Stegostoma tigrinum: one gene and its partners. The protein of the gene in region 2 purifies or fractionates together with the protein of the main gene of each other region. This does not show direct contact. Links are inferred from orthologs where the notes say so. Each region holds a gene or a part of one and is shown on either strand. Other genes may lie near its edges. The genes, in order: kif20a, mad2l1, anapc7 and cdc27.

Region 1 (7,425 bases), on a different chromosome or scaffold from region 2:
CATCAATTTTTCTTGGCATCAGTTACGTTTCTGGAGATTATTAAGCAGAAGGCTGAGAGGTGCTTGAGAGATGTCTATGTATTGTAGGCTGCCAGCTGTAGTCCAGCCAGCTTGGTTTTAAAAGAGCATTATGGGATCCTGGATAAAATATGGAAATAATGTAATATTTTGCGACAGGGACGTCATCAGTCAGCTGTTTCAAGGACGTGATTTATTCCTGATGAATTAATTTATCCAGTAATGTTCTTCCTTTAAAAAACTTTGAAGCTGCTGGTACAGAGATGTTTCAGAGCGTCAGTATTGTCCTATAGTTTGGAGTGAGCTGAGGAGCCCTTTCACAACTTAAGAGTAATCAAGTTTCCTGGGTCTGAGTGTGGATATTTCAAGGCACCTATTGGTCTTTTCTTGTAGCTTGTAAGAGGATTTTTGGCAAATTAGTATTTGCCTCTAGAGTACGTTAGTGAAAAAAAAACTGGTCTTTTGTAACATTTGGATTTTTACTAAACCAACATCCGATACTCAGGTTCACAAAGTCACCTGGCACTAAGTCAGAGATAATGGGAACTGCAGATGCTGGAGAATCCAAGATAATAAAGTGTGAAGCTGGATGAACACAGCAGGCCAAGCAGCATCTCAGGAGCACAAAAGCTGACGTTTCGGTCCTAGACTCTTCATCAGAGAGGGGGATGGGGTGAGGGTTCTGGGATAAATAGGGAGAGAGGGGAAGAAGGACCGAAGATGGAGAGAAAAGAAGATAGAAGATAGGTGGAGAGGAGAGTATAGGTGGGGAGGTAGGGAGGGGATAGGTCAGTCCAGGGCAGATGGACAGGTCAAGGAGGTGGGATGAGGTTAGTAGGTAGGAAATGGAGGTGCGGCTTGGGGTGGGAGGAAGGGATGGGTGAGAGGAAGAACAGGTTAGGGAGGCTGAGACAGGCTGGGCTGGTTTTGGGATGCAGTGGGGGGAGGGGAAGATCTGGGCTGGTTTTGGGATGCGGTGGGGAAGGGGAGATTTTGAAGCTGGTGAAGTCCACATTGATACCATTGGGCTGCAGGGTTCCCAAGCGGAATTTGAGTTGCTGTTCCTGCAACCTTCGGGTGGCATCATTGTGGCATTGCAGGAGGCCCATGATGGACATGTCATCTAAAGAATGGGAGGGGGAGTTGAAATGGTTCGCGACTGATAGGTGCAGTTGTTTATTGTGAACCGAGTGGAGGTGTTCTGCAAAGCGGTCCCCAAGCCTCCGCTTGGTTTCCCCAATGTAGAGGAAGCCACACCGGGTACAATGGATATCAGAGATAATGGGAACTGCAGATGTTTCCATATTAAGCAGAGGTTCACCTGCACATCTGCCAATGTGGTATACAGTATCCACTGTACCCGGTGTGGCTTCCTCTACATTGGGGAAACCAAACGGAGGCTTGGGGACCGCTTTGCAGAACACCTCCGCTCAGTTCGCAATAAACAACTGCACCTCCCAGTCGCGAACCATTTCAACTCTCCCTCCCATTCCTCAGACGACATGTCCATCATGGGCCTCCTGCAGTGCCACAATGATGCCACCCGAAGGTTGCAGGAACAGCAACTCATATTCCGCTTGGGAACCCTGCAGCCCAATGGTATCAATGTGGACTTCACCAGCTTCAAAATCTCCCCTCCCCCCACTGCATCCCAAAACCAGCCCAGACTGTCTCAGCCTCCCTAACCTGTTCTTCCTCTCACCCATCCCTTCCTCCCACCCCAAGCCGTACCTCCATTTCCTACCTACTAACCTCATCCCACCTCGTTGACCTGTCCGTCTTCCCTGGACTGACCTATCCCCTCCCTACCTCCCCACCTATACTCTCCGCTCCACCTATCTTCTCTTCTCTCCATCTTCGGTCCACTCCCCCTCTCTCCCTATTTATTCCAGAACCCTCACCCCATCCCGCTCTCTGATGAAGAGTCTAGGCCCGAAACGTCAGCTTTTGTGCTCCTGAGATGCTGCTGGGCCTGCTGTGTTCATCCAGCTTCACACTTTATTATCTTGGCACTAAATCAGTTTAGTTAGCACCCTTTCTCCATATTCCCATTCATGCTGAGAATCTACTATCCATTATTTCTGTTAGCACTCTCCCTTCCTACATCCTCTCAGTTACTGCAGACATTTAGTGGTGGCAGTGATGTACTGGTGATATAACAAGATTAAGGGGTATGCCATTTAGAACAGAGTTGAGGAAAAACTTCTTCACCCAGAGAGTGGTGGATATATGGAATGCTCTGGGCCAGAAGGCAGTGGAGGCCAGGTCTCTGCATACTTTCAAGAAAGAGATGGATAGAGCTCTTAAAGATAGTGGAATCAAGAGTTATAGGGATAAGGCAGGAACAGGATACTGATTGTGGATGATCAGCCATGATCATAATGAATGGTGGTGCTGGCTTGAAGGGCCGAATGGCCTACTCCTGCACCTATTGTTTATTGTCTATTAGTATAGCAATCCAGAGGCCCAGGCCCATATTCTGGAGTTACAGCAGCTGGTGGAATATAAATTAATAAGTTTGGAATATTAAAGAAAACTAGTTCCAGTTTTGTTGTCTCCATTACTATCACTATCATAAAAACCCATCTTGTTCTCTGATGTCCCACAGAAGAGAAAAATCAGTCAAACCTGCTTTGTCTGAGTGATACAAAATGACAGACCCACCGCAATGTTGTTGACTCATCTGCAGTCTGAATGGCCTAAGAATTAAGCCACTCAGTTCAACAGCAATTAGGGGTGAACAATAAATGCTAGTCTTATAAGCAACACCTGAAAACCATTAAGGAATGAAACAAATTCTCCTATTTCCTATATTACAAACTGCACTAATTCCAGCTGTCTTGATTTGGACTACAAATAGGTTGGATGGATTCAGAGATAACACAGAGTGGAGCTGGAGGAACACAGCTGGCCAGGCAGCATCAGAGGAGCAGGAAAGCTGAAGTTTCAGGTTGGGACCCTAATTCAGAAAATGAAGAAGGGTCCCGACCAGAAACGTCAGCTTTCCTGCTCCACTGAAGCTGCCTGGCCTGCTGTGTTCCTCCTACTCCACTGTGTGTTATCACTGACTCCAGCATCAGTAGTTCTTACTATCTTTGGATCAGATTTCTGATAGGTTCTATTAGCTCTGCTATTTTTCCAAACCTCTTTGTAACACTTTTTTAATTGCAATATTTACATTGCACTGAAATAAATTCAGTCACAGCTACTATAACGTATAGCCTTGGAACAGTGGCACAATGGTTAGCACTGCTGCCTCACAGTGCCAAGGGCCTGGGTTTGATCCCACTCTTGGGTGACTGTTTGTTTGGAGTTTGCATGTTCTGCCTGCGTTTCCTCTGGGTGCTCCAGTTTCTTCGCACAGTCCAAAGATGTGCAGGTTAGCTGGATTGGCCATACTAAACTGCCCATAGTGTCTTGGAATGTACAGGTTAGGTGGATTAGCCATGGTAAATGCAGAGTTAGAAGGATAGGGGTGAGTCTGGGTGAGATGCTCTTTGGAAGTTCAGTGTGGACTTGTTGGGTTGAATGGCCTGTTTCCAAACTGTAGGGATTCTATGAATACTTCAGGAAAATATGCTTAAAATTACCTCTCAAATTGAGGCACGGCTTCCAAACTGACAGTGGTTTCCTTTCCTCTTTCAAGCTGTGAAAAAGATAAGACATAGAAGCAGGAGTCGGCTATCCAGTCTGCCCACCATTCTTGGCTGATTGATAACCTTCAACTCCACTTTCCTGATGTGTTCGCATAACCCCTGATGGTCTTAGTGTTTTTTTTTATTAATCATTATCTCAGCCTGGAATATCCTAAATTACTCAGCCTCAAAAGTCCTCTGGATTCAGAGTTCCACTACATTTGAGAGAAGAATATTCCTTCTCAACCCTGTCTTAAATGAGCAGCCCCCTCATTTTGAGATGATGCCCTCCCACAAGGGAAAGCAACCTTAGTGCATCGACCCTGTCAGGTTCCTTAAGAATGTTATATGCTTCAATAAGGTCGCATATTATTCTTTTAAACTCCGATGGACACAGAGCCAACCTACTCTACTGGACTTCACAAAGCAGTCCATACCTGGTTAATATTTATCTCACTTATAAAGCAAACAATGGGCAAGTGGAAAAATAACATTTCCCTGAGAGAAATCTTGCCATTTATCTCCACGAAGGAACAACTATGAAAATGAAACAAATAGAACCTGTCTTCCTCCAAACACTGAGACTACCACAGGTAGAAGAGTACTGATGTTGGAAGTGCGCATGCGCTAGCGACCGGCGTGACCTACGCCGTGGGTGGACATGCGCACAGCCGTGAGCAGCGTTCTTTCGGGGAGGGGAGGGACTGCGCAGCCGCAAGGAATGACCCCCCCACCCCAAACACCAAGACAAAGGAGGGTGCTTCCCCGGGCGCGCATGCGGAGTGAGGTCACTGGGACGCGGTCGGCCGTTGGACGGGAACAGCGGCGCGCTATTTGAAAACAAGGGAGTCGTTGGCGAGCGGTGCGCGGGGTCGGATTACTGTCAGGCTAGTGCTGTCTTCGCTTGGGACTCTCACCACAGGTATGGTCTCTATCTCCTTCCCTCAGGTACAGCCCGAACGGTAGGAAAGAGCGCCCCACACGAAACAAGGCGGTCGTCCCCCCCCCCGGTCTGCGCTGCAGCTTCATAACGTCGTTCATGGCGGCGTCCCTCTTCCTGCCCGGGCGATGAGTCAGTGGCTGCAGGCCCTACACGCAACTCAGTCAACAAAAGGGCAGGCAGCAGCAGCAGCGGCAGCAGCAGCAACCGCCCCCTCTCCCCATCATCAGCCCACCCGGTGTGCCTGCTTTCCTCCGCAACCTCCCCCCCCCCCCCCCACCAACCCACCCAAATCCCCAGCCCACCGGGTGTTCTTCCCTACCCCCTTGTGCCCCATTCTGCACCCAACCTCTCCCTCCACATCCAGAAGAAGGTTAACTATTCACCCAGCTGGACTCTCTTGTGTGTTTGCCCGTTTGAGGTAGGGGTGTTCTCTTTTACTTGCTGTTTGAGTAAGGGTTGGGATGTTTTCATCGGCGATATGCTCCCCAACTTCTCTAGGTTAGAAAGAGTGTCTGTGGATTGGTATTGGTAATATAGGCTGAACGACGCCCCCCCTTCATTGCTGTGACATAGAGCCCTACAACATGGAAACGGACCAGTCCGTGCTGAATGTAATTTTTAAACTAAACCAGTCCCACCTGTCTGCTCCTGGCCCATATCCCTCTGAACTTTTCCTATTCAGCTACTTATCCAGTGTGTTTTAACTGTTGTAGATGTACTCATATTCACCACTTCCGCAAAGTTCATTGTGCATGAGAGGCACCCCCTGTTTTTAAAAAAAACAAAATTTGCCCTTTGTGTCTTTTTTTTAGAAGTCTCTGTCCTTTCACCTTAAGTATGCCCTCTAGATCATCTTGGTTCTATTGCCCTATGATACTGGTGGCTCTTCGTGGTTTGGTATTTTCCTTTGATCTGTCTGTGGGCCTGGCTATACACTTTGCTGACTCCTTAACAATTGGCCATGTTGCTTTAAGAGATTAAAAAGGTATGTGCATCTAGGTGGTAGTCTGTTTTTGTTTTGAAAATTTTGGAACCTGATTTTAAATTCTTACATGTGATGGGATTTGCATTATGTGGATTTAATAACCCACCAGTAGAAGAATACACGCTTGCTGAGCTATCGCATGGGTTGCTGTGGTGTTTACCCTATAGGGTGCTAATCTCTGGGTTGACTGATTTTTTTTTTGTTTAGTTTATTGCTGGATATATATTTCTAAGGATTATAGTTTTCAAAACTTTTTATGAATAGTAACTAGATGCAACTGGAGGTGATCTTCCACAGCAAGCAAATGTGGAAACAATTTGACAGCAAGAGGCCACATCCAAAAAACAGGGAAGTAAGTGATCTACAAAATAATTGAGTTTGACTATTCTGCCCTTGGGCAGTGGTTTTATTCAGCCTAAGATATAAAGAGGCACTTGAGCTGGTTCCCTGAATGTCTGTCTGTTTCTTACAGACCCTTGCCTGCTAGGTGACTCTATTGACAAATCTTGGGCATGCTGTCTGTGATTTCTTGAGCATTAAATTTTTCTAATGTGGAGAATTATGGGCAGCATGTCCTCAATTTTTGTGTAATATGCAATGGATTGTGTGCACTTGTAATGTTGGCTCTTGATCTATGAAAGATGTGCTTTATTTCTGTGATTTGCCACTCAGTATAACTTTACTTTATGTAATCAAAAGATTCTTTTATAGATGGGCTGAGGCTACTATAGAAGCTGCAGGGCAAATCAGAAAAATTAATCAATTTAAGACTCCTCCAGCAAAAAAAGCATGAAGTCGGTTTTCTGCACTTGTGTCTCTGGGTGACTGGGTTCATTAGCATGAGAGACTGATGTCTGATTCTAATGACGACCCATGGGTATCACTTCCTGCAGAGTAATAAATATGAGATTATGCATTTTTTTGTGCTGTTAGAAATTAAAGGAAATGTAATTTCCTATCTTGGTGGCATTCAAGTTTTTGCAGTTTGAGATTAATTGTCCTCTGGTTTAAATCCTTGTGAAATTTTATTCAAACAATTTTTACTGTTGACTTTACCAAATATCTATGTTGTATAGTCTGTGAATACAGTTATTATTGAATGAAGCTCCTTTACATACAAGTTCTTGATGTGCATAGTTTTATTTTCAATTTATTTTTGTTTTTATTAACCAACTTGTCAGTGAAGTTTTCAGTTATCTTTATGAAAACCTAGCTTACATATGGATAAAGGTAGCTTCAGAATCAATTTGTGCTTTTCAAATTTGCACATTCTGACATCTCTTTGTGGAATTTTGCACATTTGTCTCAGCAAGGAAATGCAATCTAGAGCCATGTGACTTGGACAAGGCAACCAAAAGTTTTGAAACGGTAGTAATGCATCCTGTACCTGTGAAGATACATTCTGCTTTTGAATTCAGATGGAGAAGCTCCCTGTTCTCTCTAATGATGAGAAATTGATTTGGGGTCATTATCTTTGATTATTATTAGTTTATATCTATTAAATTTTCTCTGAATTTACCGATAAGCATGTGAGCCATATGGACCATAAGAACATAAGAAATAGGAGCAGGAGTAGGTTATTCAGCCCTCGGCATTTGCTTCATCATTGTTTAAGATCGTGGCTGATCTTCCCCAAACTTCAACCCTCCTTTTGGTCAGCTCCTCGTAGCCACCCACTCTCCAATTTTTAAAAATCTATTTCCTCTTTAAATACTTTGTGATCTAGCCATCACAGCTCCCCGTAATAGTGAATGACCGGAATTCTACTTTTTCTGAGCAATGAAATTCCTTCACAGATAATAAAGTGCGAAGCTGGATGAACACAGCAGGCCAAGGAGCACAAA
Region 2 (7,319 bases):
GATCATTGACCTTGTCCATCCCAGTCCAACACCAGCACTTCCACATGAAAGAAAGCGAGACTGCTAATTTAAACAGTAACTTATCAAATCTCAAACATTGAAAAGCAGATGCAATAAATTATTGTGAAGTACTGCGTCTATGCGCACAAATGCAGCAGTTTTTAGATAATGTTTTAAGAGGCAATAAAACAAAGGTCAGTTAATTGATCCGTGATGACAATTGTGGATGGAGGAATGAGTCAGAACAGGCTCCTCACACCTTTTCAATAAAGGATGTAGAATCTTTAATATTCACTTATAAAGATTTGAAGGAATACAGGCTCAGACATTTGATGGCCAGAGTTCTTGGAACAGAGTAAATTAGAGGACCACGTGGAATCCTCAATGCTTCTGACTATGAGAATTGCTCAGGAAACAAATTCTTTAGGGTAATTTGCACGTCCAGAGCCCTTTGAAGAACCCATTAAAAGAGGGGAAGTTGAAGAATCCCAACTTGCATGAGCTTTACAGATACTAAAGAAAAATGGGTTAAAAAATGTAAATGTAATTCCCACTTAACTACTGACCATCCCTAATTCCCCACTGCACCACTCCCTACATTACACTGCACACCACCAAACCCCAACCGTGTTGGGATGATATACATACTCTCACTGACCTGAATGTGAGATGTACCTTCCTTCTCCTCCTGATCTTTTACTTCTGGAAGTCACATCCTGCCCCTTCCTGAAATCTGAGTCACAAACCCAAGCTCCCACTGATGGGCCAGGTACCCCTCACTCTGCCTGATAGTCTAACTTCCAACACACTCAACCCCAGGCCTGATGTTCTCCACCCACCAGTCAGCCCCAAGACATCCCCCTATCAAGAATTAAACAACCCACAGACCCCAATTACCCTAAACACTCATTCACACACCAGGTACATGCATACTTACCTATTCACAGGAGCTGTCAGCAGTGCTTTGCCTTGCTGGACATTTAAATACCAGACCATGGCACACTGACTACGGCCACAGGGATTGGGGTTTTTAATGATTATTTTCCTCACTGCTGGATTCACAAATTTTTGGACAGGTTCATAACAGGAAGCCCCTATTGGGAATCTTGAGATTTCTTTACATAAAAGATAAAGCAAATAAATTTTAATACAATTGGGGATGGAAATAGAACTTCCAAACCCAATTAGCAGAGCAAAGCAACACAATAATGTATGCATGGAATTGTTATAATGCAACACTCTGCATGGGCGGCATGGTGGCTCAGTGGTTAGCATACAGTCTCACAGCGCCAGGGACCCGGGTTCGATTCCAGCTTTAGGCGACTGTCTGTGTGGAGTTTGCACATGCTGCCTGTGTCTGCGTGGGTTTCCTCTGGGTGCTCCAGTTTCCTCCCACAGTCCAAAGATGTGCAGGCTAGGTAGATTGGCCATAGTGTTCAGTGGTGAGAGAGTCTGGGGGAGATGCTGCAAGGGACGGTGTGGACTTGTTGGGCCGAAGGGCCCGTTTCCACACTGTAGGGAATCTGACCTAATCAATTTGGATCACAAGCCAAGCTTCATGCTTCAGTCCACAAATCTCCCAGCCTAAAAAATAAATGCATAACTGGATGAATAATCTGAAAAACAGAAAACAATTGAAGTTTAAACTGAACACCCTCAAAACATAACCCAATTTCTATGTTCATAATTTGGGCCACTGCTATATTTGAATATTTTAGCACAGTTTATTAAGCTGGCTGTAACAAATGACTAATCGTTAGCATTGCAACAGTTCTAAACAATGTCACAGTTAACATTCTGACAAATGATATTATTTGTAAAAAGCTTTCCTAATATTTCTGAGGACTTATTTGTATTTTATCCCACAAAGGCAGAATTAAAGTAATCATTTTATTTTCATTAAACGTCATAAAACAAAGAATTGCAGATGCTGGAGATCTGAAACTAAAACAGAAATTTACCAGAGAAGCTCAGTAGGTCTGACAGCATCTGTGGGAAGAAAGTAGAGCTAATGTTGAGTCCAGTGACTCCTCTTATAAAGAAGATGCTCTGATGAAGAAGCACTGGACTTGAAACATTAACTCTGCTTTCTTCCCACAGATGCTGATAGACCTGCTGTGCTTCTCCAGCAATTTCTGGAGAGGTTAGATTTCTCGGCTATTTCCTTGATCACCATTAACAATTTTCCCATTTCAAACTGTAATGAGCCTGCATTTGTCTTCACTTTTTTTCACCTTTTTACATGCTTATATAATCTTACTGCAAAATTTTCAGCATAGCTTATGGTTTTACTCATTTTATTTTTGCCCTCAAAATCAATCTCTAGGTCATCCTTTGGTGAATTCCAAATGGCTCCCATGTCTCAGATTTACTACATTTTCTAATAAGTTCACACAACTCTTTGGATTTAATACTATTCCTAATTTCCCTTACTGGCAACAGCTGAGCTTCCTTTGCCTGAGCATTGGAATACATTCATTTGTTTCTTTAATATTCGCTATTACCTAGTCACCATAATGCCTAGTAAGCAATCACAGTTAACTCAACACTAATATCTTTCTAGTTTCTGTTCTTTAGATTCCATACCTGGTTTCAGACTGGATTACTTCATTTCAAAACCTGATAAAGGAATTCACGTAATGGACACTTGTCTACAATTAAAAAGGTACCCATAAAATTATTATGGCTGTGAATGGCTCAAAACTATCTTTGACAGCACAAAGAGCTCACACAAAGAATAGGTTAACATCATTTGCGAGCGCAGAAAGCAGTAGCCATTTTTAAAGATGTGTAATAGACACAGTATATTTCCTGTAGTGCCAAGTTGATCTCACAGAAAAGCCAACCCACTATTTTTGACCAAAGTCTTGAATTTTCCCATATATTTTACTAAAATTTCACCTTAGTTATTCACAGATAATTTATATTTTAAGGCAATTGCTGGACGGTGTTCATTCTCATCTGTCAAGGAAACTGCCCAAAATGTACCCTTACTCCAACGATGGGGATGCAAGTTGCATTCAACATTTTATTTTTCAAACAGTAAAATGGTAGTGACCTGTAGCTGGAGATAAAGTGCTGCCATCCAGTTTCAGGTTTGGTGGGATTTTGTTTTCAACTCCAGGATACTGTTGCATTTTAATAGCAGGTTTTTTTTATTGGGTTTCATTTCTTTGTCAGAGTTTCAAAAGAATGAACTCAGTAATGGAGAGAGCTCGCATCCACTTATTGTTTCACCGAGGGTGACAGAAAGCTTTTGGACACTGGAGCAAAAAGGAGAAGATACAGGGTCATTTTGTGAAAGAATGATCAGGTTTTTATGTACGAGGAGAATAATCTGTTTGTTCTTATCTGCTGACCTTAAGAGTTTGAGAGAGAGCATTCGATGATGGTATGACAGATTATGGCTCTCACAGCCCTGATCATTTACAACAATGCTGGATCACAGAAGTATCGGCAACTACTGTAATTCGTGATCTTTTTTCCTTTATTTGTTGAGGGATCAATTGGGCTCCTGTTAATGATGTGGTACCCATGTAATAGTCGACCCCATAAATGTAACCTTAAGAAATAGTCTAAAAAACAGCATTTATATTTGTGTAAAAGACAAGACACAGAGGAGCAAAGTAGAGATAGCTGATAAATACTGGCACTGAATGAATAGTTCAGAAGTCAAGATAAAACACTTTTAGCCTGAAATGTAACACCGTGACCTATTCTGGGCTGGATTTGCTACCCTAGAGTATCATTTTTGCTATGCCTATGTTAATCTGTGTCAGATCGGGTATATTTTTAATACATTGACAGTACATCAATACAGGATTAACTATCTCACCCTGTGATTCTCATTTACAGTTAATTTTCAATCAACCTTTTCAATACCAGAAGAATAGCTTTTGCAGCAGTATCTTTAGAATGCTGCATACAATTCTTGTCACCCTCCTGTACAGAGGATGGTGTGAAACTTGAGGGGGTGTTGAAAAGATTAACAAAGATGTCATCTAGACTGGAGGGTTTGAGTTATACAGAAAGGACTGAATAGGCTGGGGCCTTTTTCCCCTGGCAGAGGCACTGAGAGGGTGACCTTATAGAGACTTATAAAGTCATGAGGAGCATGGATGGGGTGAATAGCCACTGTCTTTTTCCTACAGTGAGAGAGCCCAAAATTACAGGACACTGGTCTAAGATGAGAGAGGAAAGATTTAAAAAGAACCTGAGGGATGACTTCCCCACACCCCCTCCCCACACAGAGGGTGGTAAGTGTATGGAACAAATTCCCAGCTGATGTGGAACGGTTCTAACAATAAATGTCCAAAAACACTGACAGATCACTACTAAAGCTATATGAAACATAAGCCACATTCATAGCCAAAATTATCTACTTTTAGAAATAACTCTCTGTGCAAACAACTGCAGCATTTAAAAGGCATTTGGATTTAGTATATGACTATGAAAGGTTTAAAATGAATATGGACCAAATGCTGGCAAAATCAGTCTAGGTCAGATTGGGATGCCTGGTTGATGTGGACAAGTTGGACTGAAGAATGTGTTTCCATGCTGTATAACCATTAAATCTGTACAGCACAGCTGCATGACTGCATGAAAATAAAATCAATGCACACAGGACTTGGTTGTGACCAACTGACATTACACCTCCATCTATAAGACAGGGGAGGCTGCAGCTAGGTTAGCGTTCAGAGTACTCGATAGCAGTCAATCCTTTCTGATTGCACAAAATCAAATCTTGGACAGCCGCTGCTCAATATAACAAAGTGTGGAGCTGGATAAACACAGCAGGCCAAGCAGCATCTCAGGAGCACAAAAGCTGACGTTTCGGGCCTAGACCCTTCATCAGAGAGGGGGATGGGGAGGGGGTTCTGGAATAAATAGGGGAGGGGGGGGGAGAAGAGACGGACTGAAGATGGAGAGAAAAGAAGATAGGTGGAGAGGAGAGTATACGCGGGGAGGGGATAGGTCAGTCCAGGGAAGATGGACAGGTCAAGGAGGCGGGATGAGGTGGCAGGTAGGAAATGGAGGTGCGGCTTGAGGTGGGAGGAAGGGATGGGTGAGAGGAAGAACAGGTTAGGGAGGCAGGGATAAGCTGGGCTGGTTTTGGGATGCAGTGGGGGGAGGGGAGATTTTGAAGCTTGTGAAGTCCACATTGATACCATTGGGCTGCAGGGTGCCGAAGCGGAATATGAGTTGCTGTTCCCTGCAACCTTCGGGTGGCATCAATGTGGCACTGCAGGAGGCCCATGATGGACATGCTGTCTGAGGAATGGGAGGGGGAGTTAAAACGGTTCGCGACTGGGAGGTGCAGTTGTTTATTGCAACCGAGCAGAGGTGTTCTGCAAAGCGGTCCCCAAGCCTCCTCTTGGTTTCCCCAATGTAGAGGAAGCCACACCGGGTACAGTGGGTAGATACAGTATACCACATTGGCAGATGTGCGAGTGAACATCTGCTTAATATGGAAAGTCATCTTGGGGCCTGGGATGGGGGTGAGGGAGGTGGTATGGGGGCAAGTGTAGCACTTCCTGCGGTTGCAGGGGAAGGTGCCGGGTGTGGTGGGGTTGGAGGGCAGTGTGGAGCGAACAAGGGAGTCACGGAGAGAGTGGTCTCCCCAGAAGGCAGAGAAGGGTGGGGATGGAAAAATGTCTTGGGTGGTGGGGTCGGATTGTAGATGGCGGAAGTGTTGGAGGATGATGCATTGTATCCGGAGGTTGGTGGGGTGGTATGTGAGAATGAGGGGGTCCTCTTGGGGCGTATGTAGCAGGGGCGGGGTGTGAGGGATGTGTTGCGGGAAATGCGGGAGACGCAGTCAAGGGCATTCTCGATCACTGTGGGGGCGAAGTTGCGGTCCTTGAAGAACGTGGACATCTGGGATGTACGGGAGTGGAATGCCTCATCCTGGGAGCAGATGCAGCAGACGTGGAGGAATTGAGAATAGGGGATAAAATTTTTGCAGGAGGGTGAGTGAGAGGAGGTGTATTCGAGGTCGCTGTTGCAGTCGGTGGGCTTGAAACGGACATCAGTGTCTAGCTGGTTACCTGAGATGGAGACTGAGGTGTCCAGAAAGGTGAGGGATGTGTTGGAGATGGCCCAGGTGAACTTGAGGTTGGGGTGGAAGTTGTTGGTGAAGTGGATGAACTGTTCGAGCTCCTCTGGGGAGCATGAGGCGGCGCCGACATAGTCATCAATGTAACGGAGGAAGAGGTGGGGTTTGGGGCCCATGTAGGTGTGAAGAGGGACTGTTCCACGTAACCTACAAAGAGGCAGGCATAGCTTGGGCCCATGCGGGTACCCATGGCCAGCCCCTTTGTCTGTAGGAAGTGGGAAGAATCGAAAGAGAAGTTGTTGAGGGTGAGGACGAGTTCGGCTAGGCAGATGAGGGTCTTGCTGCAGGGGGACTGGTCGGGCCTGCGGGACAGGAAGAAGCGGAGGGCCTTGAGGCCATCTGCATGAGGAATACTGGTGTATAGGGACTGGACGTCCATGTTGAAAATGAGGTGTAGGGGGCCAGGGAACTGGAAGTTCTGGAGGTAGTGGAGGGCGTGGGTGGTGTCACAGACGTAGGTGGGGAGTTCCTGGACCAAAGGGAAGGAAACGGAGTCCAGATAGGTGGGGATGAGTTCGGTGGGGCAGGAACAGGTGGAAACAATAGGTCGACCAGGGCAGGCAGGTTTGTGGATTTTGGGAAGGAGATAGAAGCGGGTGATGCGGGGTTGGGGAACATTAAGGTTAGAGGCTGTGGGTGGGACGTCCCCTGAGGTGATGAGGTCATGGATGGTGTTGGAGATGATGGTTTGGCGATCACTGCTCAATATAGTTTGTCTTTTTAAAAATCCAGCACACGCTATAGAAATTCATTTGTCACAGGTGATGTGGCTTGCAGAGTCTATATATAGATTAAAGTTATCCATTATTGCTGGATTACTACAATTAGTGTTGTTTTACCTAATCATATTGTTTTATCACGTTATGGGTCCACCAAATCACTACTAAAATGTTTTAAGAAATACAAAGCACGTTCGTACTCAAAAACACCTACTTTTGTAAATAACCCTCTGTACATACAGCCTAGCATCAAAAGCTTCAACATTAAAACTTGCTTAACCTACATAACTGACTGCAGCTCTAAAGCAAACTATTGCTGGTAAATGCCTTGTGGCACCTCATTGCCGATATTTTGAGCACAAGCTTACCTACTTTGCTTCATGTCACACTTAATTTTGCTGAGAATGACCAAACTGGAAGTCGGGGTGTGGGGAGGAGACAGTTACATTTACAGCAACTGTGGACAAGCTTAAGGGCAAATTTCA
Region 3 (7,806 bases), on a different chromosome or scaffold from region 2:
AAAAGTGAATTTTTTTTCTGGTAAAAGCCACATCTTAAAAGAACATCCAAAATTATCTGTCAGATATTATAAAAGTTTTTTTCTCTTTGTTCATGGCACGTGGGCACCACTGACTAGACAAGCATTTACTGCACATTCATAGTTGCCCAGAGGGCAGTTAAAAGTCAATCAAATTGATGTCATATGTAGGCCAGACCAGTTGAAGATGAGTTTCCTCCTCTAAAAGGGCATTAGTGAACTAGTTCAGTTTTCCCAACAATTGACAATGGTTTCATGATCATCATTAGACTCTTAATTCCAGGTTTTTATTGAATTCAAATCTGCAACGACATGATTCGAACCCAGAATGTTGCCTGGGTTTCTGGATTAATAGTTTGGCAATAATACCATGCGGTCATTGTATATGAAGAGCTTTAAGGGAGGTAATCAGAAACATCTGCCTTTATCTCTTCTCTTTCCAGAGGTTTAACAGTTTGTTTCAAGACACCATCATGAGTCGTACAGCACAGACACAGATCCTTCAGTCCAATCAGTCTAACCCGAACATAATCCCAAATTAAACTAGTCCCAGCTGCCTTCTTCTGGCCCTTATCCCTCCAAACCTTTCCTCTTCTTGGTTATCCAAATGTCTATTAAACACTGTAACTGTGCCACATCCACCACTTCCTCAAAGTTCATTCCACGCGTAAACCACCCTCTTTAAAAATTTGCCACTCATGTCTTTTTTAATCTCTCTCCTTTTTCACCTTAAAAATGCATCGTTTAGTGCTGAAATACCCCATGCTAGGGAAAAGATACCTACCATTAATCCTATCTATACCCCTCATGATTTTATAAACTTCTATAAAGTTACCTCTCAACCTTATATACTCCAGTGAAAAAAGTCCCAGCCTATCCAATCTTTATAATTCAAACCTTCCATACCCAGCAACATCCTGGTAAATCTTTTCAGAACCTTCTCCAGTTTAATAATATCCTTCATATAAGTGGATGACCAGAACTGCACACAGTGCTCCAGAAGCGGTCTCACCAATGTCATCAACATGAATTCACAATTCCTTTAGTCAAAAGGACTGAACAATGAAGGCAAGCGTGCCAAACACCTTTTTAAACCACCATGTCCATCTGGTGATACAAACTTCACAAAATTATGTACATGAACCCCGAGGTCCCTCTGTTTACTACTAGAATGGTTGCATCTTTTAAGACCATAAGACCATAAGACAGAGTGGAAGCAAGGCCATTCGGCTCATCGAGTCCACTCTGCCATTTAATCATGGCTGATGGGCATTTCAACTCCACTTACCCGCACTCTCCCCGTAGCCCTTAATTCATTGCAAGATCAAGAATTTATCAATCTCTGCCTTGAATAAATTTAACATCCCGGCCTTCACTGCGCTCCATGGCAATGAATTCCACAGGCCCACCACTCTCTGGCTGAAGAAATGTCTCCTCATTTCCGTTCTAAATTGACCCCCTCTAATTCTAAGGCTGTGCCCACGGGTCCTAATCTCCCCGCCTAACGAAAACAACTTCCCAGCGAAACACAATGAAATATAACACCAAAATTCAGGTAAATGTAATAGGCAGGTTGCAGAATCAAAGTCCTAGTTACATTGAGACAAACAGCTTTCTGGCACTGCTGATGGCGGAAGGTACATGAACTATGCATCAGAATTCCTCCAATTCTCTGATCAAATTAATAGAACTTTCAAAATTGATATGGCAAATAGGACCCTAGATTTAACATTTTACCCAAGGTCAATTTTTCCAAATACAAACTAGTCCATCCCCACGAATAGATCAACAAATTGTAATAAAAAGCATCCTTAAAAAAGAAAACAGTCCATCATACTTTACATGGTTTGGAGAGAAACTAGTATCAAGCTATGGTGAGAATTGCAAAGGTTATTGAAAGTTTAGCAATAATGGCTTTACCCAAAACATTAAAAGAAGGTCGAAAGCACTGCTACTAGAGGTGAAGAAAAGTAAGGGTTGGAGGTACAAAAAGCCAGTCGGAAAAAAATGTAGAGATTGGGATAGATTCAAACAAGCAAGACTTATATTCAGTTGGCAAGTTTGAATTCAATGTGTTGGTGGGGACACAAAACCAACATAGATTATACTTTTGAATCTTCAGAATCTATTTAATCTCTATCAAAAATCTATTTAAACTTACAAATCAATTGAGCTAGCATCCACTATCATTTGTAGAAGAGTTCCAGACCACAATACTGTATATAAAGTAGTGTCCTAATATCACCGTCTCTTGAAAAGCTCAATCAAATCACCCCTCAACTTTTAAATTCCAAGGTTCACTTTAAAAGAAACCTTAAAAGAAAAGTTCCTTTTTTGTTTACTTCTTCCTTGCAATAAAAGTATCATTTGAGTAAATCTATATTACACTCTTTACAAGGTCTATAATCCTTTCTAAGGGATTATGCCCAGGACTCTGTTTTATTTCAGGTAATGGTCTAACCTGGGCCTTAGTTAACGGAGCATGGCTTCTACCCCTAGTATTTTAGTTCTATGTTTATAAAGGCCAACATTCCCTTCTGATTGAAGTCATAAAAACTCACAGAAGCTTAAATCATTCGGAGGTGACAATACTATATGGCTGGAACACGTAATGATAATACAATCAAAGGCTTGGACTGTCACACTCCATTCACCATTCAGTTTACACCAGTGGTACCTATGAACCAAGACTTTTTTCTTTCACCCTTCCACTTTGAGACTAGAACAAAATCATTTTAAGCCTCAAACTTTTAACAGGTTCGGAACTTATTTGGAGATGCGGGAGCAAACTGCATTTTAAAACCATACCATGTCAGGGGGAGAGGATTCGGAACACATAGAATCAATTGAGAGAGAACTCGCCAGGTAAAACCAACCACTTACGGATTATTGTCGCTCATAGTCAGTAACAGGCTACTAAGTAATCTCACGTTGGAGTAAAGGCCAGCGGCCACCATATCCCGAACGTGGTCAATAACGTTCATCTTTTCTTCTGTCAGATCAGTGCTCTGAGTGAAGACGACGCTAAAGCAGTAGCACTAACAGCATCAAAAATGGCGCTGTGGACCTCCCTGCAGCTAGAGCTGCTCACTTTGCGCCTGAATTACTATGATTCACCGTGGCAGTGCAGTGTATTTTTTTTTCGTAACGTACTTAATAATTAAAATTATATAGCTACGTTTGTTTGCCAACCGCGAGATTAGAAATAGCCGTTGAAGTAAAGCGGCACATGGCGGGCAGCTTTGCGTTGCTAGGGGGAAGGCGCATGTGCGGCTTTGATGCCGGAGCCGGGATGTGAGCAGCCTGTAAGGCCGCAGGCCGAGGCTTGGTATAGCGTGGGCCCGCAAGGCTTGGAGCGGTTGCTTCTGACTATCTACCTGACCCACCTACTTTACCTTTATTATTTGATTTTCATATTTTACTTGGTTTGATCCGATCCTTGAGTAATGACAGACCAGTCCGCCCTGCTCCTTAGGAAACAGTTGGCAGGTACGCGACGCCCTTGGGATCTCAAACTTTGCTGCAGATGTGAGTTGTGGCTGGAAGGACTGTTGTTGCTGCTGAGTCTCGACCCCCTTTCAGCTCCCCACTTCCTTCTGACTATTTTCGTTTTGGCTATTACTATATGTTAATTGTTAAAAGAGGAACATTTGGGACGTTATTTATGTTATGTCATCGGTCGTCAGACTCTTTTAAAAGTCATTGTTTCGTAACTTTTTTTACCGCTTCCCCCTCTCCTTCCCTCCGCGTTATCGCTATGACAGACTGGCAAAGTGTCTTCCTGGAATATTTTGCGGCCACGGGACTGCAGTCATTTTTGGAAGATTGGCAGTTTATACGCACGAATTTTACAGGCGTCAAAGTTATAGAAAATCCAGATGTTGTCAGTCTGACGCGATTGTAAAATCGAAAAATCGTTATGGCGCTTCACAGCCGCGAACGCTGACATGATGAATGTGTTCTTACTTTTGACCAGATTGCATATCTTCTGTTCGCTTTCACTGCGTATTACAGTTGCCTGTTGCTAGTCCCCTGAAAGACTTGAATTGTTACATGTTATGGAGTCATAGTCATACAGCACTGGAACAGGCGCCTCGGCCCAACTTGTTCATGCCGACCAGGTTTCCAAAACTGAACTAACCCCATTTGAGATAATGGGAACTGCAGATGCTGGAGATTCCAAGATAATAAAATGTGAGGCTGGATGAACACAGCAGGCCAAGCAGCATCTCAGGAGCACAAAAGCTGACGTTTCGGGCCTAGACCCTTCATCAGAGAGCATTTGCCTGCGTTTGGCCCATGTCCCTCTAAATCTTTCCTAGCCATGTACCTGTCCAAATGTCTTTTAAATACCCACCTCTAACACTTCCTCTGGCAGCTTATTTCATATATGCATGTTCTATATACCCTGTCTGAAAAAGTTGCCCCTCAGGCTCCATGTAAATTTTCCCCCTCTCACCTTAAACCCTCTAGTTCCTCTCTTCTCCCCCCAGCAAGGGAGAAGACTTTGGCTATTCACCTTATCTATGTCCCTCATGATTTTATAAACCTCTACAAGGCCACCCCTCGGTTCCTACGCTCCAGGGAAAAACATTCCAACCTCTTCTTATAACTCAAACCTTCTAATGTTGGTAATGTCTTTGTAAATGTTTTTGCACCATTTCCAGCTTAATAACATCCTTTCTACAGCAGGACAAGCAAAATTATATGCAGTACTCCAAATGTGGCCTTACCAATGTCTTGTATGGTTGTAGCATGATGTCAAAACTCCTGTACTCAGTGCCATGACCAATGAAGGCATACATGCCAAATACTGTCTTCACCAATCTATCTACCTGTGTTACCACTTTCAAGAAATCATGTTTGCACCCCTAGGTCTCTCTGTTCAAGAATACTCCCCAGAGTGCTGCCATTGAGTGTGGAAGTCTTGCCCTGGTTTACCTTACCAAAATGCAACACCTCACATTTATCTGAATTAAACTGTATCTGCCGTTCCTTGGTTCACTGGCCCAGTTGATCAAGATCCCATTGTACTTTTGGGTAACCTTCTTGACTGTCCACTATACCACCAATTCTGGTGTCATTGCCAAACTTACTAACCATGCCCCCTATTTTCTTATCCAGATTGTTTACATAAATGATGAACAGCTGTGGACACAACTGATCCATTTGACACACTGCTGATCACAGGCCTCCAGTCTGAAAAACAACCCTGTACCACCACTTTCTGTTCCTACCATCAAGTCAATTTTGTATCCAGTTGGCTAGCTCTCTCTGGACCCCATGTGGTGTAATCTTACTTACCAATCTACGATTGTCAAAGGCCTTGCAAAAGTCCATGTAGACTGTTCTGCCTTCATCTACGTGGTCATCGCTTCAAAAAACTCAATCACATTTGTGACACGTGATTTTGCACAAAGCCATGCTGACAATCCGGGATCAGTCCTTGCTTTTCCAAGTGCATGTACTCCCTGTGTCTCTCAATCCCCTCCAACAACTTACCCACTACTAATATTAGGTTTACTAGTCTGTTATTCTCTGTCTTTTCCTTCACCCTTTCTTAAATAATGGCACGTTAGCCACCCTCCAGTCTTCCGGCACCTCACTCATGCCTGTCAATGATACAAATACCTCTGCTAGGGGCCCTGCAGTTTCTCCCCTAGCTCCTCTCAATCTCTGGTGTTACACTGGATCGATACCTTTGTCCTTTGAGAACCTCTAGCACCACTTCTTCTGCAATGTGGGCTTTTTTTCAAAACATCAGTATTTATTCTCCTGAGTTCCTTAGCTTCCATGTCTTTCTCCATGGTAAATACTGACAAGAAATATCTGTTTAGGATTTCACCCATCTTCCATGGCTTCACGCACAGATGACCTTTAAGGGGCCCTATTCTGTCCCCGGTTATTCTTTTGCTGTTATTATACTTGTAGAATCTCTTTGGATTCTCCTTTATCTTAGACATTAAAATTATCTCCTGCCCCCTTTTCGCCCTTCTAATTTCATTCTTAAGGTACTCCTATACTCCCTATACTCCTCAAGGGATTTACTTGATCCCAGCTGCTTATACCTGACAATTGAGGTAGCATGGTGGCTCAGTGGTTAGCACTGCTGCCTCACAGCATCAGGGACTTGGATTTGATTACACCCTTGAGCAACTGTGTGTGGAGCTTGCATGTTCTCTATATGTCCTCCCACAGTCCAAAGATATGCAGGATAGGTGAATCAGCCATGCTAAAGTGCCCACGGATGAGGTAAGTTAGGTGGATTGGTCATGGGGGAATGCAGGATTACAGGGAATAAGGTTGGGGGGAATGAGTCTAGGTGGGATGCTTTTCGGGGGATTGGTGTCAAGTCAGTGGGCCAAATGGCCTGCTTCTGCACTAGGGATTCCCTGATTCGATATGCCTCCTCTTTCTTGACCAGAGCCTCAATGCAGTAGTCATCCTGTTCCCTACACCTGCCAGCCTTGCCTTTCACACTAATTGGACCATGCAGGCCCTGAACTTTTCCTTTGGTATGCTTCACATCAGAATTAAAATATAGTTATCCTCTTAGCTGTGAGAGTTGATGGATAGCATTTGGTCTTAAAATGCTGCAATACAGATTGAGGTGTGTTTTCATTCCATTCCTACTGTGACCATGAACTACAGTGGTTAAACTACTGAAATGGTAGGTAGAAGAGAAAAGTCACATTTTGATTTAATGATTTATTACTGGACAAGTTAGATCCCAAACTCTGAAATCTAGCTTGATCATATTTTGTTTATTTTTAAGAATCCCCACTGTGTGGAAGCAGGCCATTCAGCCCATCAAGTCCACACCGACCTTCTGAAGAGCATTCCACCCACACCCATCCCTTTATTTCCCACCCTAGACACGATGGACAATTTAGCATAGCCAATCCACCGAACCTGCAAATCTTTGGACAGTGGGAGGAAACCAGAATACCTGGAGTAAACCCACACAGACAATGTGTAAACTCCACAGAGGCAGTTGCCTGAGGCTGGAATTGAATCCAGGTCCCTGGCGCTCTGGGGCAGCAGTGCCAACCACCGAGCCACTGTGCTGCCTAATGAAGTAGCCTTTCTCTGAAATGCACACACACAATGCTACAGTTTCATTTCACATAAAACAAGTTTCATTACTCAAAAGAAATGAAGATAAAATAGAATAAGCCATTGAATTTTACATAAATGTAAATATTTCAAAACTCAAGGTAAAATACAATGTCATTAATCCCAAAATCACTCCTCCTTAGTACTCATACCAGAGATAATGCACTTCTATTTCATATTTATAAAGTTTAATTTAACTGTGACTTCAGTGTCCTGTCTTGAGAATGTGATCACCTCTTGGAGCCTTCATACACTGAACTTAGAGTTTTTTGGCTTCAAATAATCCCTTTATGTTTTAAACTAAATACTTCTGGTCTGGAACCTTAAATTCTGTTCACTGAGGGAACATATTTCTTAACAGTCCTAAATTACCTCCCTTTCTCAAGAGCAGCTGTTTTACACATCTAGCTTTGGCCAAGACTTCTGCAAACTGCTCCCAACTAAAACTAAAAATCTTTTAGCTTTCCTAGTTATGAGATGTTTCTTCTAAGCTCCCAAAAACTGCAAAGTAAAAGCGTAATGCATAATCCTCTTGTTCACTTGTAAACTCTCCCAATGTAAACAAATTCGCAATCGCCTTCGTGAACTAACTTATTTTAGAAAAAAATCACCTTGGCTACTAAAATAGCTACAAGTTCATTAAAACTCTTCAGACACACCCAAAAATTATGC
Region 4 (7,828 bases), on a different chromosome or scaffold from region 2:
AACACAAATCAACTGAACTTCCTATACACTGGATCACATTTTCAAAAAGATTCTGAATTTGTTAAGCAGGGCCATCCTTTGACAAAGACATGCCGACTATCCCTAATTAACCCATCCCTTTCCCAATGGATATTAATTCACTCTTGCAGATTTTTCTCCAATAACTTCCCCACCACTGATGTGGGACTCACCAGTCTGTAATTTCCTAGTTCAACTCTACTTAAAAAGTGCTATCATATTTGTTATCCTCCAGTCTTCTTGCACCCTCCCCTCCCTGAGGCCAGAGAGGAATTAAAAATTTATGCCAGTGCCCCTGCAATTTCCCACAGCAACCTGGGATGGAATTCATCCAGGCCAAGGGATTTGTCTGTTTTTAAGTCTGACAGAGCCTCCAATTTCCTTTCATTTCAATTCAATTCCAATCATTTCGTATGTTACATTGCGCAACTTCCTCAAATAATGCCTTTTCCTGAATTCTATACCGACATTCTCCTTGAGGATAAAGACTGAAGTGACATATTCATTCAACATCCTTTCAATATCCTGCTGCTTCACACACAGGTTGCCCCCTTGGTCCCTAATGGGCCCTATTCTTCCCTGAGTTAACCTCTTCCCTTTAAAATATTTATAAAATGTTTTAGGATTCTCCCTAATTCTGTTTGCAAATAATTTTTCATGTCCCCCTTTTGCTCTTCTAATTGCTTTAAAGTTGCCACCTGAACTTCCTGTACTCAAGTGCCACAACTGAATTGCTCCCGTTAGACCTGGCCTACTCTTGTTCCTTATCCAGTCCTGATTTGCCCTAAACATCCAGGATTCTCAGAACTTATTGCCCCTTACCCCTCAAGGCTAAGTGCTGGGCCTGTAGAATGTACTTCATTATCACTTGAGCTACAATACAGAAGTACAGAGGGACACATCTTGGTGTTCTTATAGAAAAGGGATTAAAGGAATGCAGAAGCATTACCTACAAAAGGTAGTTACCACAGTAGAAAGGTTTCAAATGACAGTCCATTTTCAGCAGCTCAGCACATGCGCCAGGCCCAAGACCACCAATTGTCCTGTTTTGCTCCAGCCTCCAGTCTGCTCCTCAATGGCACTCAGCAGCCACAAAGCTAAGTTGCACTTGACCAGGATTCATCCCTTAGCCCCTCCAAGTATTCTCCCCAGCTCCTTTCTGAATATCACCCATTGCTTCGCTGTAGATTTACCTGAAAGGCGATGATCCCCATCCAAGGTTAGTAGGCAAGAATGGCATTGGTGACTGCAATCCCACCTAACTGAACATCTTTGAAGTACCAGGTCCTGAATAGATCAAAGTTCTCCAGATGTGGCCTAAATCAGAACTTGATATAAGTGTAACATAACTTCTAGCCCTTTTCATTTCAGTCTTATACAGACTATAGATTGTTCTAATCTTTTAAAGTTATTTTCAAACCTGTCCATTAGTTTCTGATTGTTTCTGCATATGAAACCCTAAATGTCTAAGATCAGCCATGATTAGCTTTCTACAATTTGAGTAACACCTTTTGTTTGAAATGGAACTGACTCTGACTAGTTTCTGTGCTGACAGAGAAACCATCAATCACCACCTCCTCGTCATTGGCCCAAAGCTGCTGGATGCTCCTCAAGATCAGCAAAGCAGTTACAATACACCGTTCAAAAACATACAAAGCTGCTTGTAGGCTAGGACAAAGGACACAAAGTACACACTTGCAAAGATATTGCATTTTCTGCAATTCTGTGGCCAGTTGAATAATATTTTGAAATGTAAACTTGTAGGAAAAGCAGTCACCAGTTTTCACACAGCAAGTTGGCACGAACAACAACTAGATGAATGATCAGATCATCTACTTTAAGCAATGTCAGTTGGAAACTAAAATACTCAAAATTCAATCAAAATCAACATTCACTCAAATCAAAGTTACAGACTTGGGCCTCAACTTCCATTCTATCACTATTTCTTGCCCTCTCCTTTCTTTCTCATCCCTTTGATCTGAAGAACTTTTTCCTCCAAAAACTGACATGTATATTTTCCATAGCATTCAAAGTTTATATTCACTGAACGAGCACAAGCTGATGTTTTTCTGATTGCAACTAAGAAAAATCAGCAACTTGGCAAAATCAGTCAGCTCACAGTAATTCCAGACTCGATCAACCAACTTGACAATGTTCATCATGACACGCAAACTAATCACCACAGATCATGCAAGCGTCACGTGTTGTCCATTTAGAACAGTTTTCTAAAGGTCATGCATCTTTGGAACTCTCAAGATCATCCAGCAGATTCTTCAAATGCTTTAAAGTCAAGGCAGAAAACTTCTTGTTAAGCAACAGGGTGAAAAGTTATCAAAAAAGTAGGTTAAAAACAGATCATCCATGATCTTATTGAAAGACAAAAGAAGTTCAAGGAGCTGAATGATCTCCCCTGTTGCTTGCTCATATGTTTCTACTACCTGCAGAGTTTGTAATCATTAGTACTCCATTCTACATAGCTGAAAATTTTCTTCCCCCATATACACAATGTTTCGAGCCAATTATCTCAATCCTACCTCATGAAACTTCGCTGTTCAGAAGTGAACATTCCAACACCCACCATTACACTCTCAGCACCTACTAAACAGGAAGAAAGCAGTTAAATTCCAACAGGACCATCACCAAAAACTAAGTATTTTCTGTTTCTCTCGAAACCTGCAGGATTGCCTTAAAGCTCTGCGGGGAAGAAAAAGGATAGCAATCTTCATACCGAATAGGCGTGATCATCCTGTTAACAAAACATGCCTAACTGTTGTATTTGCCTCAAAATCGTTTTTTTTAAAAAACCAAGGAGTAAACTAGGCCTGACAGAATGCTGGATTAACATAAATCCACCAAACAGTACCGCTGTTTGGAAAACAAAAAGCTTTTCCAATTCCAGAACCACGGCTCTAATACAGACTTCATAGCCAGTTTAAAAACTCAATGACAATCAGTCCCCTCGCACCCCCTCAAGATACACAGGCCCACTCCTCTGGCCGGACCGCGCCAGGCCGGGAAGGTAGGAGCAGGCGGCCCACTCTTCACACACACGGGTCGGACTTGTAAGTGACAGCGGGCCTGGAATCCCCAGGGCCGTTTTACCTGAACGGGTTCCTGCAGCACTGTCATGATGTAAGAACCAGTCTGTACCAAGTAGCGCGGCTTCTCATCACACACAGCTCGGCCCAGGATTCAAATTTCAACAGTCACAGCCACCGTAGCCTAACGGCCAGCAGGACGACGACACACCGGACGGAAATCACCGAGTTATGCCGGGAATTGCCGAACCTTGTCGGGAATCGCCGAACGCTGCCGGAAGTTGTCGCCTCACGACCGGAAATTAGTTAGGTGAGAGTTGTGAGGAGTGAGAGTGGAGGGCGTATAGTCCTGAGTCCATCCCAGCTGATGGTAATATTCTGCAGGTCACCTTCTACGGTGATGCTCACCTCGTGGACCGTAAGATTTAATATTGCTTTTGCTTCCTTCGCTGCTGTGAGCAGTAACTGGAAATTTCTAAAGAATTGCCAGTGTATTGCAAATTCTTTTCGTGCAGATGGAAACCATTTGGCCCATTGTGCCTGCATTATCACTGCGCCATTTTGCTGCTTTTTTCAACGTAAGCCTGCATATCGTTACGATTTAAATAATCGTCTGACGCCCTCTGAACGCTCTGAATCTAGCTCCTGTACACTTCCAAACAGTGCATTCCAGGCACAAAAACAGAAATTGTTGCAAAAGCTCGGCAAGTGTGGTAGCATCTGCGGAAAGAAATCAGATTTACGTTTCGGCTTCAGTGACCCTACCTCAGAACTCTCTTCCTCATTCCAGACCCTCATTCCTTGTGTGATGGAGTTTTCTTCGTGCCCCACATTTGCTGTGTTTGCAAATCATTTCACTACTGTAGTCTAGGTCTGAAGCAATCAAGTTGGGTGACCCTGACTTACACAGGAAATCTAGGTACAATTTTCACAAAACTATTAGGGATGCCAAAGGACAATACCAGGCTCCAACTCCACACTGCATTGACTGTGACTCCGGCATATGCAGTTCTTACCATCTCCAGGTGATTGAAAACCCAAATGTGAAGCCTTTTCCCAGGATACCCACCCTGAGGAAGTTGTCCTCCTCACTCCAAAAAAATCAAGGATCTCTCCCATTGCAAACCACGGATGACTCTTCAGCCCTGAAGCTCTTCAATTACATACTAAAACAAATCCATTACTTCAACCTGGGCTTCTTCCTGTATCATAATGACACCACATGCAAATTGGAGAAACAACACCTCATATTCCACCTTGGGAGCCGATAGTCTAATGGCTTCAACATAGATTTCGCCAGTTTTAAAATAGAACATAGAAAAGTACAGAACAGTACAGGCCCTTCAGCCCATGATGTTGTGCCGTGGAATATTCTAATCCAAAAATAAAATAACCTAACCTACATTTCCCTCAATTCACTGTTATCTATGTGCATGTCCAGCAGTCGCTTAAATGTCACTAATGTCTCTGCTTCCACGACTACCACTGGCAAAGTATTCCATGCGCTCACAACTCTCTGGGCGAAGAACCTCCCTCTGACGTCTCCTCTATACCTTCCTCCTAACGCCTTAAAACTATGACCCCTCGTGGCAGTCAATCCTGCCCTGGGGAAAAGTCTCTGGCTCTATCCATGCCTCTCATTACCTTGTACACCTTGATCAGGTCACCTCTCTTCCTCCTTCTCACCAGAGAGAAAAGTCCGAGCTCAGTCAACCTCTCATAAGACAAGCCCTCCAGTCCAGGCAGCATCCTAGTAAACCTCCTTTGCACCCTCTCCAAAGCCTCCACATCTTTCCTATAATAGGGCGACCAGAACTGGACACAATATTCCAAGTGTGGTCTCACCAGGGTTTTGTAGAGCTGCAGCATAACCTCACGGCTCTTAAACTTGATCCCCCTGTTAAGAAAGCCAAAACACCATATGCTTTCTTAACAACCTTATCACCTGGGTGGCAACTTTGAGGGAGCTATGCACTTGAACACTAAGATCCCACTGTTCCTCGACACTGCCTAGAATTCTGCCTTTAATCCTATATTCAACATTAAGGTTCGACCTTCCAAAATGCATCACTTCGCATTTATCCAGGTTGAACTCCATCTGCCATATCTCAGCCCAGCTCTGCATTCTGTCAATGTCTCGCTGAAGCCTGCAATAGCCCTCGATACTATCAATGGCACCTCCAACCTTTGTGTCATCAGTAAACATAGTAACCCACCCCTCAACCTCCTCATCCAAGTCATTTATAAAAACTACAAAGAGCAGAGGCCCAAGAACACAGCCCTGTGGGACACCACTCAGCACTGACCTCCAGGCAGAATACTTACCATCTGCAACCACTCTCTGCCTCCTGTCAGCCAACCAATTCTGAATCCAGACAGCCAGATCACCCTGTATCCCATACGTCCTGACTTTATGAATGAGCCTGCCGTGGGGAACCTTATCAAATGCCTTGCTGAAGTCCATGTACACCACATCCGCTGCTCGACCCTCGTCAACCTGTCTCGTGACTTCCTCAAAGAACTCAATAAGATTTGTAAGGCATGACCTGCCCCTCACAAAGCCATGCTGACTCCCTTTAATCACGCTATGCTTTTCCAAATAATCATAAATCCTATCCCTCAGAATTCTTTCCAAAACCTTGCTGACCACAGACGTATGACTGACTGGTCTGTAATTTCCAGGGATTTCCCTATTCCCTTTCTTGAAAAGAGGAACAACATTTGCCTCTCTCCAATCTTCTGGTACAACTCCCATGGAGAGTGAGGAAGCAAAGATCTTTGCCAGTGGTTTAGCAACTTCCTTTCTGGCTTCCCGGCGCAACCTAGGATAAATCTGGTCTGGCCCTGGGGACTTATCAATCTTAATGTTTGCAAATCTCCCCACCCCCAGCCTCATCCCGTGTCCAAGCCTCCTCCTTGACCTGACACAACCTGTCCATCTTCTTTCTCACATATAACACAGTGTGGAGCTAGAGGAATGCAGCAGGCCAGGCAGCATCAGAGGAATCGGAAAGTTGATATTTCGGATCAGGACCTTTCTTCTTTTTCTGAAGAAGGGTCCCGACCCGAAACATCAACTTTCCTGCTCTTCCAGCTCCACACTGTGTTATCTCTGACACCAGAATCGGCAGTTTTTACTATCGTCTTTCCTACCTATACACCCCACCCTTCCCACTGACCAATCCCCACTACCCTGCATCCACCTATTACCACCTTCCTCCAGCCCCACTTCCCTCCGTCTATTTCCCAGCTCCCTTCCCCCTCCCCAGTCCTGAAGGGCCCCAACCTGAAACGTCGGCTTTGCTGCTCCCTGATGCTGCCTGACCTAGAGTTCCTCACTGTATTGACTCTGACTCCAGCATCTTCAGTTCTTGCTATCTCCTAAACTAGAGTACCAGACTAACCACACAAACACACATCTACTGTGTCAAGGGTTACATGATATAATAGGCTACAAAACAAAGCTGAATACAATCGGTAACAACAATGCTTGTCTCCCCGATGAGCTCAATGCATTCTATGCTTGTTTTGCACCAAAAGTGGTGAAAAATTGTCACCTATGAAAACCAGCCTTCCTTCCATTGAATCTGTCTACAGTTCCTGCTACCTCAGGAAAGCAGCCAACACAATCAAAAACCCCAGCTATATAAATGCCAAATGAACTGTGGATGCTGTGAGTCAGGAGCAAAAACAAAGTTGCTGGAAAAGCTCAGCAGGTCTGGCAACATCTGACCCTCCCTCAGAACCCAGTTATATTCTCTTCCATCCTCTTCCAGGCAGAAGATACAAAACTTTGAAAACACAGACCAAATGATTCAAGAACAATTTCTTCCTTGCTGTTATTTAACTTATGAACAGACTTAGAGTTACAGTGCCGTATAGCTTTATCGCGCCATAGTGATGTGTACCTTTCAGTCCAACCCATCTATGCAGACCAGATATTTGCCAGCATTTGGCTCATATCCCTCTAACCCTTCCTATTTATACACCCATCAAGATGACTTTCAAATGTTATCATTGCAGTAGCTTCTACCACTTTCTCTGACAGCTCATTCCATACAAGCATACCCTCTGTGTGAAAAGGTTGCCCCTTAGATCCTTTTTAAATCTTTCCCCTCTCACTTTCAACCTATACCCTCTCATCTTGTTTATTAGAGTTGATCGTTCTCTTCATCTCTGTAACTGTATTCTGCATTATGTTCTATTACCCCCCGATGTACTTACGAATGGTATGATTTGACTGGATAGCACATGAAACAACACTTTTCACTGTACTTTGGTACATGTGACAAATAAATCAAATCCAATCTTGATCCTTTTTTTAAGCAGCAACGATTCCTGCCTGTTTACTCTGCCCAGAGCTTTCAAGTTTTCATATTTTTTCATTAATGGGATGTGCTTGCTGTTGTCTGGACCAGCACTTGTTACTCATCCCTAAAGAAGGTGGTGGTGAACTGCCTTCTTGAACCACTCCAGTCCTTGTGTCATTGTTAGGAAGGGATTTCCAGGATTTTGACCCAGGAACCCTGAAGGAATAATGATGCAGTTCGATGGCCGGTTGGTGAGTGGCTTGTGGTGTTGCCAAGTTCCATGTTCTTTTGAATGAGGTTGTCGGCTTAGTTTTCTCTCCAGGGAAAACAGTCACAATCTCTCCAATCTGTTGTCATAAACTGAAGACAACCATCCCTGGAGCTATTTTTTTGAAATCTCTTCTGCACTCTTCCCTATGTATTCACTTCCTTTCTAAAGTGTGGCACGCATAACTGAATACA

What was found.
Region 1: the proteins of mad2l1 (region 2) and kif20a purify together in Homo sapiens (affinity purification with mass spectrometry; 4 studies listed by BioGRID and IntAct, with this or other methods). This does not show direct contact. The link is inferred for Stegostoma tigrinum from reciprocal best matches to the Homo sapiens genes MAD2L1 and KIF20A.
Region 3: the proteins of mad2l1 (region 2) and anapc7 purify together in Homo sapiens (affinity purification with mass spectrometry; 3 studies listed by BioGRID and IntAct, with this or other methods). This does not show direct contact. The link is inferred for Stegostoma tigrinum from reciprocal best matches to the Homo sapiens genes MAD2L1 and ANAPC7.
Region 4: the proteins of mad2l1 (region 2) and cdc27 purify together in Homo sapiens (affinity purification with western blotting; 29 studies listed by BioGRID and IntAct, with this or other methods). This does not show direct contact. The link is inferred for Stegostoma tigrinum from reciprocal best matches to the Homo sapiens genes MAD2L1 and CDC27.

Annotation. Positions count from the first base shown.
Region 1 is NC_081366.1:76,636,921-76,644,345, reverse strand, and holds the start of kif20a (kinesin-like protein KIF20A), read left to right. Parts: upstream 1-4,396; 5' UTR 4,397-4,575; intron 4,576-4,939; exon of another isoform or gene 4,940-5,014; intron 5,015-7,425. UniProt on the Homo sapiens protein: Mitotic kinesin required for chromosome passenger complex (CPC)-mediated cytokinesis. Following phosphorylation by PLK1, involved in recruitment of PLK1 to the central spindle. Interacts with guanosine triphosphate (GTP)-bound forms of RAB6A and RAB6B.
Region 2 is NC_081354.1:68,625,546-68,632,864, forward strand, and holds the start of mad2l1 (mitotic spindle assembly checkpoint protein MAD2A), read right to left. Parts: upstream 3,153-7,319; 5' UTR 3,138-3,152; coding exon 3,059-3,137; intron 1-3,058. UniProt on the Homo sapiens protein: Component of the spindle-assembly checkpoint that prevents the onset of anaphase until all chromosomes are properly aligned at the metaphase plate.
Region 3 is NC_081379.1:24,281,965-24,289,770, reverse strand, and holds the start of anapc7 (anaphase-promoting complex subunit 7), read right to left. Parts: upstream 3,099-7,806; 5' UTR 3,003-3,098; coding exon 2,902-3,002; intron 1-2,901. Other genes in the region: ube2g1b (ubiquitin-conjugating enzyme E2G 1b), read left to right, coding at 3,465-3,507. UniProt on the Homo sapiens protein: Component of the anaphase promoting complex/cyclosome (APC/C), a cell cycle-regulated E3 ubiquitin ligase that controls progression through mitosis and the G1 phase of the cell cycle.
Region 4 is NC_081384.1:40,773,218-40,781,045, reverse strand, and holds the start of cdc27 (cell division cycle protein 27 homolog), read right to left. Parts: upstream 3,272-7,828; 5' UTR 3,148-3,271; coding exon 3,121-3,147; intron 1-3,120. UniProt on the Homo sapiens protein: Component of the anaphase promoting complex/cyclosome (APC/C), a cell cycle-regulated E3 ubiquitin ligase that controls progression through mitosis and the G1 phase of the cell cycle.